Macaca mulatta: one gene and its partners. The protein of the gene in region 2 purifies or fractionates together with the protein of the main gene of each other region. This does not show direct contact. Links are inferred from orthologs where the notes say so. Each region holds a gene or a part of one and is shown on either strand. Other genes may lie near its edges.

Region 1 (3,084 bases), on a different chromosome or scaffold from region 2:
GGGGCCCAGGGCAGAAGATGTCAGGACCCAGGCTGTTTGGGGTGGGAAAAGTAGCAAAGATTTCTCAACAGTCTGTGTCAGTTTTCTAACTTAACTGAAATGCCTTTAAGCTCTCCTTCATCCCCAAACTTTCCCCTATGGCATCTATGATAGAAAAACACTCCTCTCTCATATATGCCCCATCACTGGGGAGCCGGGGAGAAGGGAGTGGGCATTATAAAGGCAAGCCAAACTTTTTATTCAGCCAGAAAATGGATTTCTGATTCAGTTTAAAGGCAAAGAGTTATGTAAATCCGTACCAAGTCCTGCTTCTTCCTCAAAGTGAGCTGGGCTGCATTTTTGTGACTGGAAGCATTTCTCGTAATGGTGAATTAAGCACTTTAAAAAAATAAAATCAATCCCATCTCTATAAGTAGCATAAGAGCTGCTTCCAAGAACCCAGGGATGCCCACATCCCATAACCCACCCAGACACAGCCAATTCCTCATAGACAGCTACATGGGAAGAATAAAACCCTCTCATCAACTTGTTTTGGGGGGTGAGGGAGAGGCAGTGCTTAGGGAATATGTAGGATGGATTGTTTTATTCCTGCCACTACCAAAAACTATAAATCTACACACACAGTCACACGCACATACATGTCCATTTTTAAGAAAGCTTTTCCTCCCTGTGACTACAGGAACCCAGAATTCAGCCTCCCTCAGGCTGAGGGATGATGCCTTTTAATGGCACAGATCTAGCATATCAACATACTACAGAAGGCTCCTGTGTTGTCTCACAAGCTGAGAGGGTAGGGCAAAGAAGTGGACGCTCATGGGGGACTTGCTTTGTGTCTTAAATCCAATCTACTCAGTAACACTCGCAGGTCCAGGGGCTGGGAGAGGTTCTGTGGGCACGATGTGGTGGACGACCTGATGGTCCCAGCCCACTGTGGTAAGCAGGGAGTGATTGAGCGGGGACCAAGTTGCATCTCTCACAAAGTCTCTGTGGGCTCGGCTTCTAAACCTAGAAGAAAAAAAGTCAGGGCATAGTAGAGACAAGAAAAGCAGACCTGGAGAAAAAAGAGAACCCAACACATCTGGGGCATATTTTTTGGGTGTGTTACACACATTTCACCAACTGTATGGCCTCGTCGCCAGGATAGCAGTGTAGCTATCCACAGTGGATGTCATCAATCATCCAATCCAGTCCTCTATTTTCATAGATGAAGAAATGCTGGATAGAACAAGACAGTGATGTGGGGCAGTAACAGGCAGCAAATCATGGCAAGGAGGGAAGTACAATTCAGGTCTTCCAAGTGCTGCCTTTTACCCTGTAGCAGACTGCATTTCATATGCAGTTCTCTATGTGAAAGGATATACTGCCGCCCCCTTGTGGGAGAGGGCTGGAGTGCTAGACTTAAAAATTCCACCTACCACCCCGCTCTACCAAGGACACAGCTTTGTCCTTGGGGTTGTGAATGTGCCCCATGAACGGAGAGGGTCAACAGCCAGCCTGCTTCCATTACCAAGTCCCTTCAGATACAGACGGAGAATCTGTTCTCCAAAAGCACAATACACTTTTCTGAAGAGGAAAACGACTCACCCACCCACTGCTCCCCTTCCCTGATTCCCAAAGGATTCCACTTCACACTTACACCTCAGAAAGGCTTGAGTCCAGCACAGCAAGTGAGCAGTCTTCACTGAGAGAGGCCAGGAAGGGAACACTATCAGAGGGAGGAGAGGGTTGTGAAAGGCAAAGCCTGGATCCCAAGACAAAACCTTTTTTTTTTTTTTTTTTTTTTGAGACGGAGTCTCGCTCTGTCGCCCAGGCTGGAGTGCAGTGGCGCGATCTCGGCTCACTGCAAGCTCCGCCTCCCGGGTTCACGCCATTCTCCTGCCTCAGCCTCCCGAGTAGCTGGGACTACAGGCGCCCACAACTGCGCCCGGCTAATTTTTTGTATTTTTAGTAGAGACGGGGTTTCACCGTGGTCTCGATCTCCTGACCTTGTGATCCGCCCGCCTCGGCCTCCCAAAGTGCTGGGATTACAGGCGTGAGCCACCGCGCCCGGCCCCAAGACAAAACCTTAACTGAGCTGGCGCCACCGCTACTGTAAAGTGACCCAGAAAAGGCAGCCTGATTCCCACTTTTGGCTAAGGTCTGGCTACTCTAAGTTGACACTAAAAGTTTCAAGTAAAGATGAAGGAAATGAAGCAAAGTTAGGGTTGACAACCATCCTGGTAACTAACCGCCCCATCTGGTCCCTCTCTATAGCTTCAGCAATAACCCAGAAACACAGGCTTTTCCAACCTCACAGTCCCAGAAACCCACAATATGAACCATGTTGGGTGTTGAGCAGGAATGAGACCACATTTTAGCCATTTCAGACAGAAACCGTATAATCTGAAAAATCCTTTGATTCCCAAAGGATTCCACTTCCCACTTAAGAGATCTCTGATGTTCCAAAACCTCAGTTAGAACACTGTCTGCTTTAAGGAACTACTTAATGAGCTAATGCTTTGAAAACATACACACACCCCCCCACTGTTCCCATTTATACCCATCAGGCCCCTGATGACAAAGAACAGTACCTGTGTGGGGAGAACACCAGCCCAGTGACACACTGGGAATGTACAGCTGAGCTCAGGACACAGCTTGTACTCTTGGTATCCACAAGGGAGACTGTCCCATTCTCATCACCTGTAGAAGAGAAGGGACATGTCATGGTAATTAAGAGCATGGACTTTGGTGCCAAAGATTTGAATCCTAGTTCCTTAAGCTTGGAAAAGTTAACCATTCTGAGCATCAGTTATCTCTTTTGCAAAGCAGGGATAAGTCGTCACTGGATGATTGTGAAAATTAAGTTAATGAATGAAGCAGTTATTATTTTAACCACAAACTACGTCACCATACACACAGCCTCATGACCACGATAGCTCTACACCTACCCACAGTAGAAAAGAATTCGCTGTATAGCAATCCACTTGCTTTGTGGCTCACTGACTTATAGCCATGCCCAGAATATAGGAGCTAGATCCATCAATCAAAAATCAAATCCACTGGGAAAATAATCATGTTCTCCAAAGCTACACTAAAACTACCTTG
Region 2 (4,391 bases):
TTCCACCGTCTCTGCCATCTACTTGCCTAGTCGATCCATAGCCTTCTCAGTCTCCGTCTCCTGACTGGAGTGGTCAGCTGTAGCAAAGCCAGCCTGCAGGAAGAAGAAACGATTACCAAGGACTTGGGTATCTGGGGTATGCCCAGTATTCAGCTATTGCACCTCAACCCCACCCATTCTTCCATACTCCCCTTGGTGACGCAGGGCTGGGACTCTGCCACCCACATTTCTGCTTTGCCCTGTTAAACTGCGCAAGGCTGGAAGGAGACGGACTATTCCTTCCTATTCACGTTGGCATCACCTTATGACACTTCACCATGGCAGCAGGAATGCCTTCCTATAGCGGCCACAGAATCCAGTATACAGTTCTGCGAACTCTTGCAGAGCCAGCCTTATCCCTGCACCTTCTCTTTAGAGGTCTGGATCCCAGGACTCTCCTCCAAGCTCAGAGACCCCCTACATCAGCTGAGGCAGTGCCTCCTCCTTAAAGGTTGGAATTTCAGCTCTACAGAGCCTTTCCTCTAAGCTTTTAAATTTTAATCAACTTCATCTCTTTGTTCCTCCAGCCATAGGTTGGTAGCTCTTCCCTGCGGTTGCCACCCCCAGGTATACGTTTTACCTTTTCAGTTACTTAACAGCTTTATAGTTAGCAAACAACTCTATCGAATTCTGTTTCCTCACCGACACATTGAGGTGGGGGAAGCTTTATAGCTCCTCTGCAATGCTGAGCACTGAAGGCAGTATTTCTTTTTTTTTTTTTTTTTTTTTTTTGAGACGGAGTCTCGCTTTGCGCCCAGGCTGGAGTGCAGTGGCCGGATCTCAGCTCACTGCAAGCTCCGCCTCCCGGGTTTACGCCATTCTCCTGCCTCAGCCTCCCGAGTAGCTGGGACTACAGGCGCCCGCCACCTCGCCCGGCTAGTTTTTTGTATTTTTTTTAGTAGAGATGGGGTTTCACCGTGTTAGCCAGGATGGTCTCGATCTCCTGACCTCATGATCCGCCCGTCTCGGCCTCCCAAAGTGCTGGGATTACAGGCTTGAGCCACCGCGCCCGGCCTGAAGGCAGTATTTCTAATCTAACTGAAAATCTTCCCGCACGGCCAACCAAATGCTTCTCTGCTCCTATCACTCAGAAGTTCCTGAAACCCTATGACCTCCAAGACCTCTTTCTAATGAATCACGAAATCTTCCCTGCCTGCATAAAAAGACTTGATTTTGATCCCAGCTCTACCATCCATTTAGACTGTGACCTTGAACACATCACTTCAATTACCGTGCCTGAGTTTTCTTCTCCAGAAATTGGGGGTGACTGTTCTGACCCTGCAGGGGACTTATGATGAGATACCATTTATGAAAACACCTGCCATGTGGCAAGAATGTAACATTTCTTGAATTTAAATTCATCTTTTCTGCTACATCTAAACTGCACTTGGCACCTGCTCCAATCAGCATTCATTATCTAGTTATGTCTGGGTTTAATAATTCAATTCCACTCCCTTTAGTGACAACTTCTGATCACTGCCGCCCAAGGAGAATTCAGACCTCTCGCCTAAACCACTGCCACAGCCTCCTAACCACCTTCCCATCCAGCCATCTGGCCCAGCCTTACAGAATTAATCACTACTCTGCTCTAAATCTTCAACAGCCCTCCACTGAGGGAGCGCAAAATTAGCCATGGCATTCGCACGTCCCCACGTCCCCAACTCCCATCAACCTGTTGAGCATAGTTCTCTGCATGCTCTGAGACCCAACTCCAGGTCATGTGCCCTACACTTTCTCATCTCCACGCCTCTGCAGACACCACCAGCCTCTCACCTTGATCCTTTCCTGCTATGCCCAGACAAAATTAGTCCCATTCTATTCTGCACCACAAAGTAATTTTCTGTATAAGTGTCGCTGCATTTTTCATATCTTACTTTGGCTAAGTACCATCTTTGAGGCATCATTCATCCAGTCAGCATGTCTATCTCCTGTGCCAGGCACTATGCTAGGCTGGGCAAACAGCCCTAACAGAGGGTTCCTACCTCAGCACCTAGCCGGTACTGACAGTAAACAAGGGCAGGTAATGACTGTAATAACGGTCTGTAACGTTCTCGAGAAAACCGGGTGCTGTTTAGCGTACATGAAAACAAGTTTCTGGAAACCCTGCGTCCAAACAGGGCCTTTTTGGTTTCAATAAGAAGGGGGAGTGCGCATGTGACATCATCTGGGGTTCAGGGTTAGCGGGCATCCCCACCAACGCACAGAGGTCCACAGGTCTGTTAAGTCAAGTCCCTCTCCTCGCCGCTCTCACCTGGCCCTCGCCCAGGCTTCTGGCAGCGGGCCCCGGCTCTCGGTCACCAGCGTCACCTCCCATTTACCAAATTCGCAGCGGCGCCCAGCGAGCGGACGGCCTTCCCCACTGACCCGGCGCGCCCACCCACGCCCTCGGCGTTCCCCGCCCCGCAGCCCCGCAGCCCCGCGGCCCCTCGGCCTGGCAGTTTTGAGCTCGAGCGCGAGGCCAAACAGCGCTCCAGGTCGCGGGGCGGCCCGAGGCCGGCCAGAGGCGCTTCCCCGGCCCCGCGGCCCCCGCCCAGCCCGGCCCCGCGACTTCCCGCCCCAGGATGCGGCTGGTTGTTGCTCCCGGCCCCCACGCGGCGCTTACCTCCGGGCTGGGGGGCGCCTCCTGCGCGCTAGGCAGCGGCGGGCCCCGAGACGGCTCCGCGGCCCGCCGTGCCTGGGCCCTGGCGGCCTGAGGGTCCATGCCCGGCTGCCCGCGGCTCGGCGCCCTGGACGCCGTGGGCCACGTGACGCGCGCCTGTCGGCCGCCAGCCCGAGGATCCGCCGCCTAGGGGCCAATCAGCCTGGGGAGGGTCCCGGCCAAGAGGGCGGGGCGCCGGGGTGTCACGAGGAAGCGGAGGCGGGGCGGCGCAGGGGGTGGGGCGTGCGGCCTCGCGGAGCCCGCCCCTGCCTGCCAGCGCGAAATCTGAAACAATCTTGGGGACTGATTTTGGTGCAGATCCCAAGCCTGGACGACTAGCTGGGTGTGAAACGCCAAGCGTACCCTACGCAGCCACTCGGGGTGTGCTCCAGCTTCAAAACCCCGCGTGGGTAAGACACATCAGCAACTTAGTGACCTCCACCTTGAGATAATGATCGTCTTTGAAGATAATCCATTAGAGAAACCAGGATAAGACACAAACTGCAATGTGCGGTGGACACAGAATAGAGGCCACGACGCTTACTCATAATAATCCTGAACATTCGGGTTCCTGTATTTCCATGCTCAACGCCTGATACTCAGCAACCTAATTATTTCCCATTTTGCCTCGAAAGGTGGCTTCTGGGGATAGGCAGGGCCTGAGCTGGGAACCACCCAATTGGAAAGACAGCCTTCCCTGCCTTCCCCACAGTGCCTAACCTCTAGTAACAAACCAGCTCAAGGCGTGCTAATCACGTCAACATCAGGACATGAGACCCTCTTCCTTCATCCCCCTCAAAGACTGTGTTGTTTGTACAACACAAAAGGCATTTGAAAAAATTTAGCATAAAACTGACACACAATATTCGATATTATTTTTCTCTCTGTAGATGTTCCTACGCAGGAGTCAGTATCCCCAAGGCTAACTGCCTCTAGGTCAGCAGTGTCCAATAGAACCTTCGTTAATGGGCCGGGCGCGGTGGCTCAAGCCTGTAATCCCAGCACTTCGGGAGGCCGAGACGGGCGGATCATGAGGTCAGGAGATCGAGACCATCCTGGCTAACATGGTGAAACCCCGTCTCTACTAAAAAATATTTTTAAAAAAACCTAGCCGGGCGAGGTGGCGGGCGTCTGTAGTCCCAGCTACTCGGGAGGCTGAGGCAGGAGAATGGCGTGAACCCGGGAGGCGGAGCTTGCAGTGAGCTGAGATCCGGCCACTGCACTCCAGTCTGGGCAACAAAAGCGAGACTCTGTCTCAACAACAACAACAAAAAAGAACCTTCGTTAATGGTGAAAAGTTCTACTATCTGTGCTGTCCAATATAGTAACCATATACCTACTGAGCACTTAAAATGTGGCCAATATGAATAAATTGAATAATTCTAATAAATTTAAATTGCTACATCTGCCTAGGAGCTACTGTTTCTAACAGTGCAACTCTAGGTGTACTAGCTAGATGCGTTTTCATAACCTGCAATAGTGAGAATCAGATACAGGGGACGTGATGAGCCCAGGTGACCACTTTTATATAGCTTTGTGTTAAGGAGACTACCACTATCCTCTTTGCTCCCTACTCTATTTACAACACATATCTCTTTTGTAAAATTAAAGTGCCAAATAAGATTTAGAAGGTTAAACATCCCAGGACTTAAGGGACAGGAAAAAGAGGAATTTTTTTCTTATTTTAAAACAAATGACAAGAAAACAGGCTGGC
Region 3 (3,648 bases), on a different chromosome or scaffold from region 2:
GACAGACCTGGGGCTGGCAGAGGGTATAACAGCATTGGCAGAGGAGCTGGCTTTGAGAGGATGAGGCGCGGTGCTTACGGTGGAGGTACGTGAGGATTCCCAGGGTTTGGCAAGTAGTCTGTTCCTTTGTTTAGGTGTTTTGTTTGATGGATTGTACTTTGTCTTTCAGGCTATGGAGGCTATGACGATTACAATGGCTATAATGATGGCTATGGATTTGGGTCAGATAGATTTGGAAGAGGTAAGGTAAGAATTGAATTTCTCAGTTGAAGGATGCTTACACTCTTGTCCATCTAGACCTCAATTACTGTTTTTCAGGAATGTCTGATCACAGATACGGGGATGGTGGCTCTACTTTCCAGAGCACAACAGGACACTGTGTACACATGCGTGGATTACCTTACAGAGCTACTGAGAATGACATTTATAATGTAAGTGTAGGATGAACTCACAAGTCTTATTTCAGTATGGCAGTAAAAGTCTGAGCCTTACTCTATAAATGTGAGCACTGTGTTAGAAATTGTAGTTTTATTTTGTAACATTAGAAAGTTGATTTAATTCTTTGAAATGCCTTGTGTTGTAGTTTTTTTCACCACTCAATCCTGTGAGAGTACACATTGAAATTGGTCCTGATGGCAGAGTAACTGGTGAAGCAGATGTCGAGTTTGCAACTCATGAAGATGCCGTGGCAGCTATGTCAAAAGACAAAGCAAATATGCGTAAGTGTGATTGAGCGTTTGTGGGCTCTTAACAGGTGATTGTGTGACTAACATTTACAATAGAGAAATGGAAAAATAAGGATATATGAGAAGTTTCCTCTCCAGTAATAGATTAATTCTTGGGGGATGGGGGGCAGTGGGTTGAAGAAGGTTTGGGTTTTAAAAATTAGTCTAACGGATTTGTGATACGCACATCTTGAAGTTTATATCCTTAATTGACAACATAGATGAATATGTAAAGGCTAGATATTAGAGTTAAAGTAGATCACCTAAGAGAAGTAGCTAGAATTTTCTTTGCCAAGGTATTTGAAGTTCACAGATCTGCTCGTTTAAAAACTTTATAAAAGTGCTTATCCTGTTGTGTTTCACCAACAAACATTTTCAAACTTTTTTTTTCTCATTTCAGAACACAGATATGTAGAACTCTTCTTGAATTCTACAGCAGGAGCAAGCGGTGGTGCTTACGGTAGCCAAATGCTAGGAGGCATGGGTTTGTGTAAATATCACTTTAGTGTCTTTTTTTTAAGCTAACCTTGTATGCCTTTTCTCTCATTTCAGAACACAGATATGTAGAACTCTTCTTGAATTCTACAGCAGGAGCAAGCGGTGGTGCTTATGGTAGCCAAATGATGGGAGGCATGGGCTTGTGTAAATATCGTTAGTTTTTTTAAAAACCAAAACGTTTATATCTGTATAAGTCAATTATAAGTTGTTAATCTATTTAATAAGTTTAGCATAACAAACTTAGGCAAAGAAAGCAGTTTCTTGATATTTGAATTTTGTATCTGGCTTACTTAAATCTTTGTTATGAAGTTCCTTAGGATAGATAATTCAAATTAGATTTAAGTACTCTTGGGGGAGGGGACTACGGAGTGAAACTACTTAAATTTTCTGAGTATAAAGTTTAAATAGCAAAATAGGATTAAGATAAATGTGGGCATAATTAGGTGTATTGACGTGCCTTTGATATATCTAAGGGGGAACCCCACTAAATCTAGTCAGGCAGTTTCATAAGATCTTCACAAAATGCCTCTACTTAGGGAATCTTGTGGGTTTTAGTCCTGCTGATGTATATACCGTTAGCACTTTGGTTTATAAATATTTGAGTAGCTCAAATGATGGATAGAAGGGTAGCCCGGTTATAGACAGTAGGCAGAAGGAGGCAGAGGGTTATAGTAATATAAGATCAAGACTGGAAAATATAGATATAGAATTACAAGCCCGGTACCACCAGGTACCACATTATGTAAGGAACAAGGTTCTAAAGTTTTCTTAACTTAACAGCAAACCAGTCCAGTTACGGTGGCCCAGCCAGCCAGCAGCTGAGTGGAGGTTACGGAGGCGGCTATGGTGGCCAGAGCAGCATGAGTGGATACGGTAAGCCTGTTTTTTTAAATATACTTAGAATTAAGTTTTAGGCAGGTTTCTTTAGTTGGGAAGGTGCAGGCTCCTTTTTGGTGAAATTGGGTTATTAAATGTATGCTTTCAATCCAAATGTAACTTTTTACTAGCTTAATTTTCAGAAACAATCATTGGGAGGGGGAAGTGTTCTGTGAATAAAAAACTAGTCATTGCAACTTTGGAATACTGTCGAGCCAGAAAATATCTGCCTCCATTTATTAAAACATTAAATAAAGTTGTTCGCTTTTTTATCTTTTGGTTAGCAGTACATCAATTTTAGATGGAGGGAGAATTTGGAATAGTAGAATGGTGGTTGGGTTCAGGACCGTATTTATTAGTTAACCTAGGATTGGTTTTATTTATTTTTTTTCAATTGGTCTAAAGAATGGTGATTTTGGTATTATAGTCTTACCCTACAAAATCCTTTTGCAGACCAAGTTTTACAGGAAAACTCCAGTGATTTTCAATCAAACATTGCATAGGTAAATATTTTCTCAAAAAATATAATTTAAATTCCCAATAGCAAATACTGATATGTTGTAATAATACTTTCTATAGCAGTCAATGGCTCTGACTTAACTCCATGGAGGCTGCCATTTGGGCACAGTGAGTTGCCTTTAGTCCACCTTGGTTGTCTCACTTCCTGCCCACCGTGAATAGGAAAAGCAAGAGACTTCCCCTGTGCTCCCTTTTCTCAAATGCCATTCGAGGGACACATTGTGAATGTTTATGGTAAATTTTTTTAAAAAATGCCTTGTTTAGCTTTAAAAATACGAAGTAATTTTGCAATTTTTGAAAAACACTAGTTTTCCTTTAAACTTAATTTTTCATGTTGATCCTGAAGAATCCGTTAAAATGGTAGCACAAGAGTCTGGCAAGTTGGTACTGCAGAGAAAAGGGGTTAATTGAGGCTTGTTTGGAGTCGGGATTCCCCTTTCCCAAACATGCGTCTCGCCACTTGGACAGCAGCCATTTGTACTCGTATACTTTTTAAACTTTTTCTTGGAATACTATATTTTATTTGACTGGTAGTCTGACATTACTCCTAACTTGTCAAATTGATCTCTTTGCAGGTAACCAAGGAGCAATGAACAGCAGCTACTACAGTAGTGGAAGCCGTGCATCTATGGGCGTGAACGGAATGGGAGGGATGTCTAGCATGTCCAGTATGAGTGGTGGATGGGGAATGTAATTGATCTGTCCTGATCACTGACTCTTGGTCAACCTTTTTTTTTTTTTTTTTTTTTTTAAGAAAAAAAAACTTCAGTTTAACAGTTTCTGCAATACAAGCTTGTGATTTATGCTTACTCTAAGTGGAAATCAGGATTGTTATGAAGACTTAAGGCCCAGTATTTTTGAATACAATACTCAATCTAGGATGTAACAGTGAAGCTGAGTAAACTATAACTGTTAAACTTAAGTTCCAGCTTTTCTCAAGTTAGTTATAGGATGTACTTAAGCAGTAAGCGTATTTAGGTAAAAGCAGTTGAATTATGTTAAATGTTGCCCTTTGCCACGTTACATTGAA

The links.
Region 1: the proteins of COPRS (region 2) and WDR77 purify together in Homo sapiens (affinity purification with mass spectrometry; 3 studies listed by BioGRID and IntAct, with this or other methods). This does not show direct contact. The link is inferred for Macaca mulatta from reciprocal best matches to the Homo sapiens genes COPRS and WDR77.
Region 3: the proteins of COPRS (region 2) and HNRNPH1 purify together in Homo sapiens (co-immunoprecipitation; 3 studies listed by BioGRID and IntAct, with this or other methods). This does not show direct contact. The link is inferred for Macaca mulatta from reciprocal best matches to the Homo sapiens genes COPRS and HNRNPH1.

Annotation. Positions count from the first base shown.
Region 1 is NC_133406.1:128,804,681-128,807,764, reverse strand, and holds the end of WDR77 (methylosome protein WDR77), read right to left. Parts: intron 2,680-3,084; coding exon 2,571-2,679; intron 1,706-2,570; coding exon 1,637-1,705; intron 1,006-1,636; coding exon 846-1,005; coding exon of another isoform or gene 812-845; 3' UTR 636-811; downstream 1-635. UniProt on the Homo sapiens protein: Non-catalytic component of the methylosome complex, composed of PRMT5, WDR77 and CLNS1A, which modifies specific arginines to dimethylarginines in several spliceosomal Sm proteins and histones.
Region 2 is NC_133421.1:41,273,013-41,277,403, forward strand, and holds the start of COPRS (coordinator of PRMT5 and differentiation stimulator), read right to left. Parts: upstream 2,838-4,391; 5' UTR 2,741-2,837; coding exon 2,642-2,740; intron 2,504-2,641; exon of another isoform or gene 2,354-2,503; coding exon of another isoform or gene 2,291-2,353; intron 94-2,290; coding exon 27-93; intron 1-26. UniProt on the Homo sapiens protein: Histone-binding protein required for histone H4 methyltransferase activity of PRMT5.
Region 3 is NC_133411.1:188,575,032-188,578,679, reverse strand, and holds part of HNRNPH1 (heterogeneous nuclear ribonucleoprotein H), read left to right. Parts: coding exon 1-85; intron 86-169; coding exon 170-241; intron 242-297; coding exon 298-431; intron 432-583; coding exon 584-719; intron 720-1,125; coding exon 1,126-1,185; coding exon of another isoform or gene 1,186-1,215; intron 1,216-1,277; coding exon 1,278-1,367; intron 1,368-2,003; coding exon 2,004-2,096; intron 2,097-2,552; coding exon of another isoform or gene 2,553-2,602; intron 2,603-3,193; coding exon 3,194-3,312; 3' UTR 3,313-3,648. UniProt on the Homo sapiens protein: This protein is a component of the heterogeneous nuclear ribonucleoprotein (hnRNP) complexes which provide the substrate for the processing events that pre-mRNAs undergo before becoming functional, translatable mRNAs in the cytoplasm.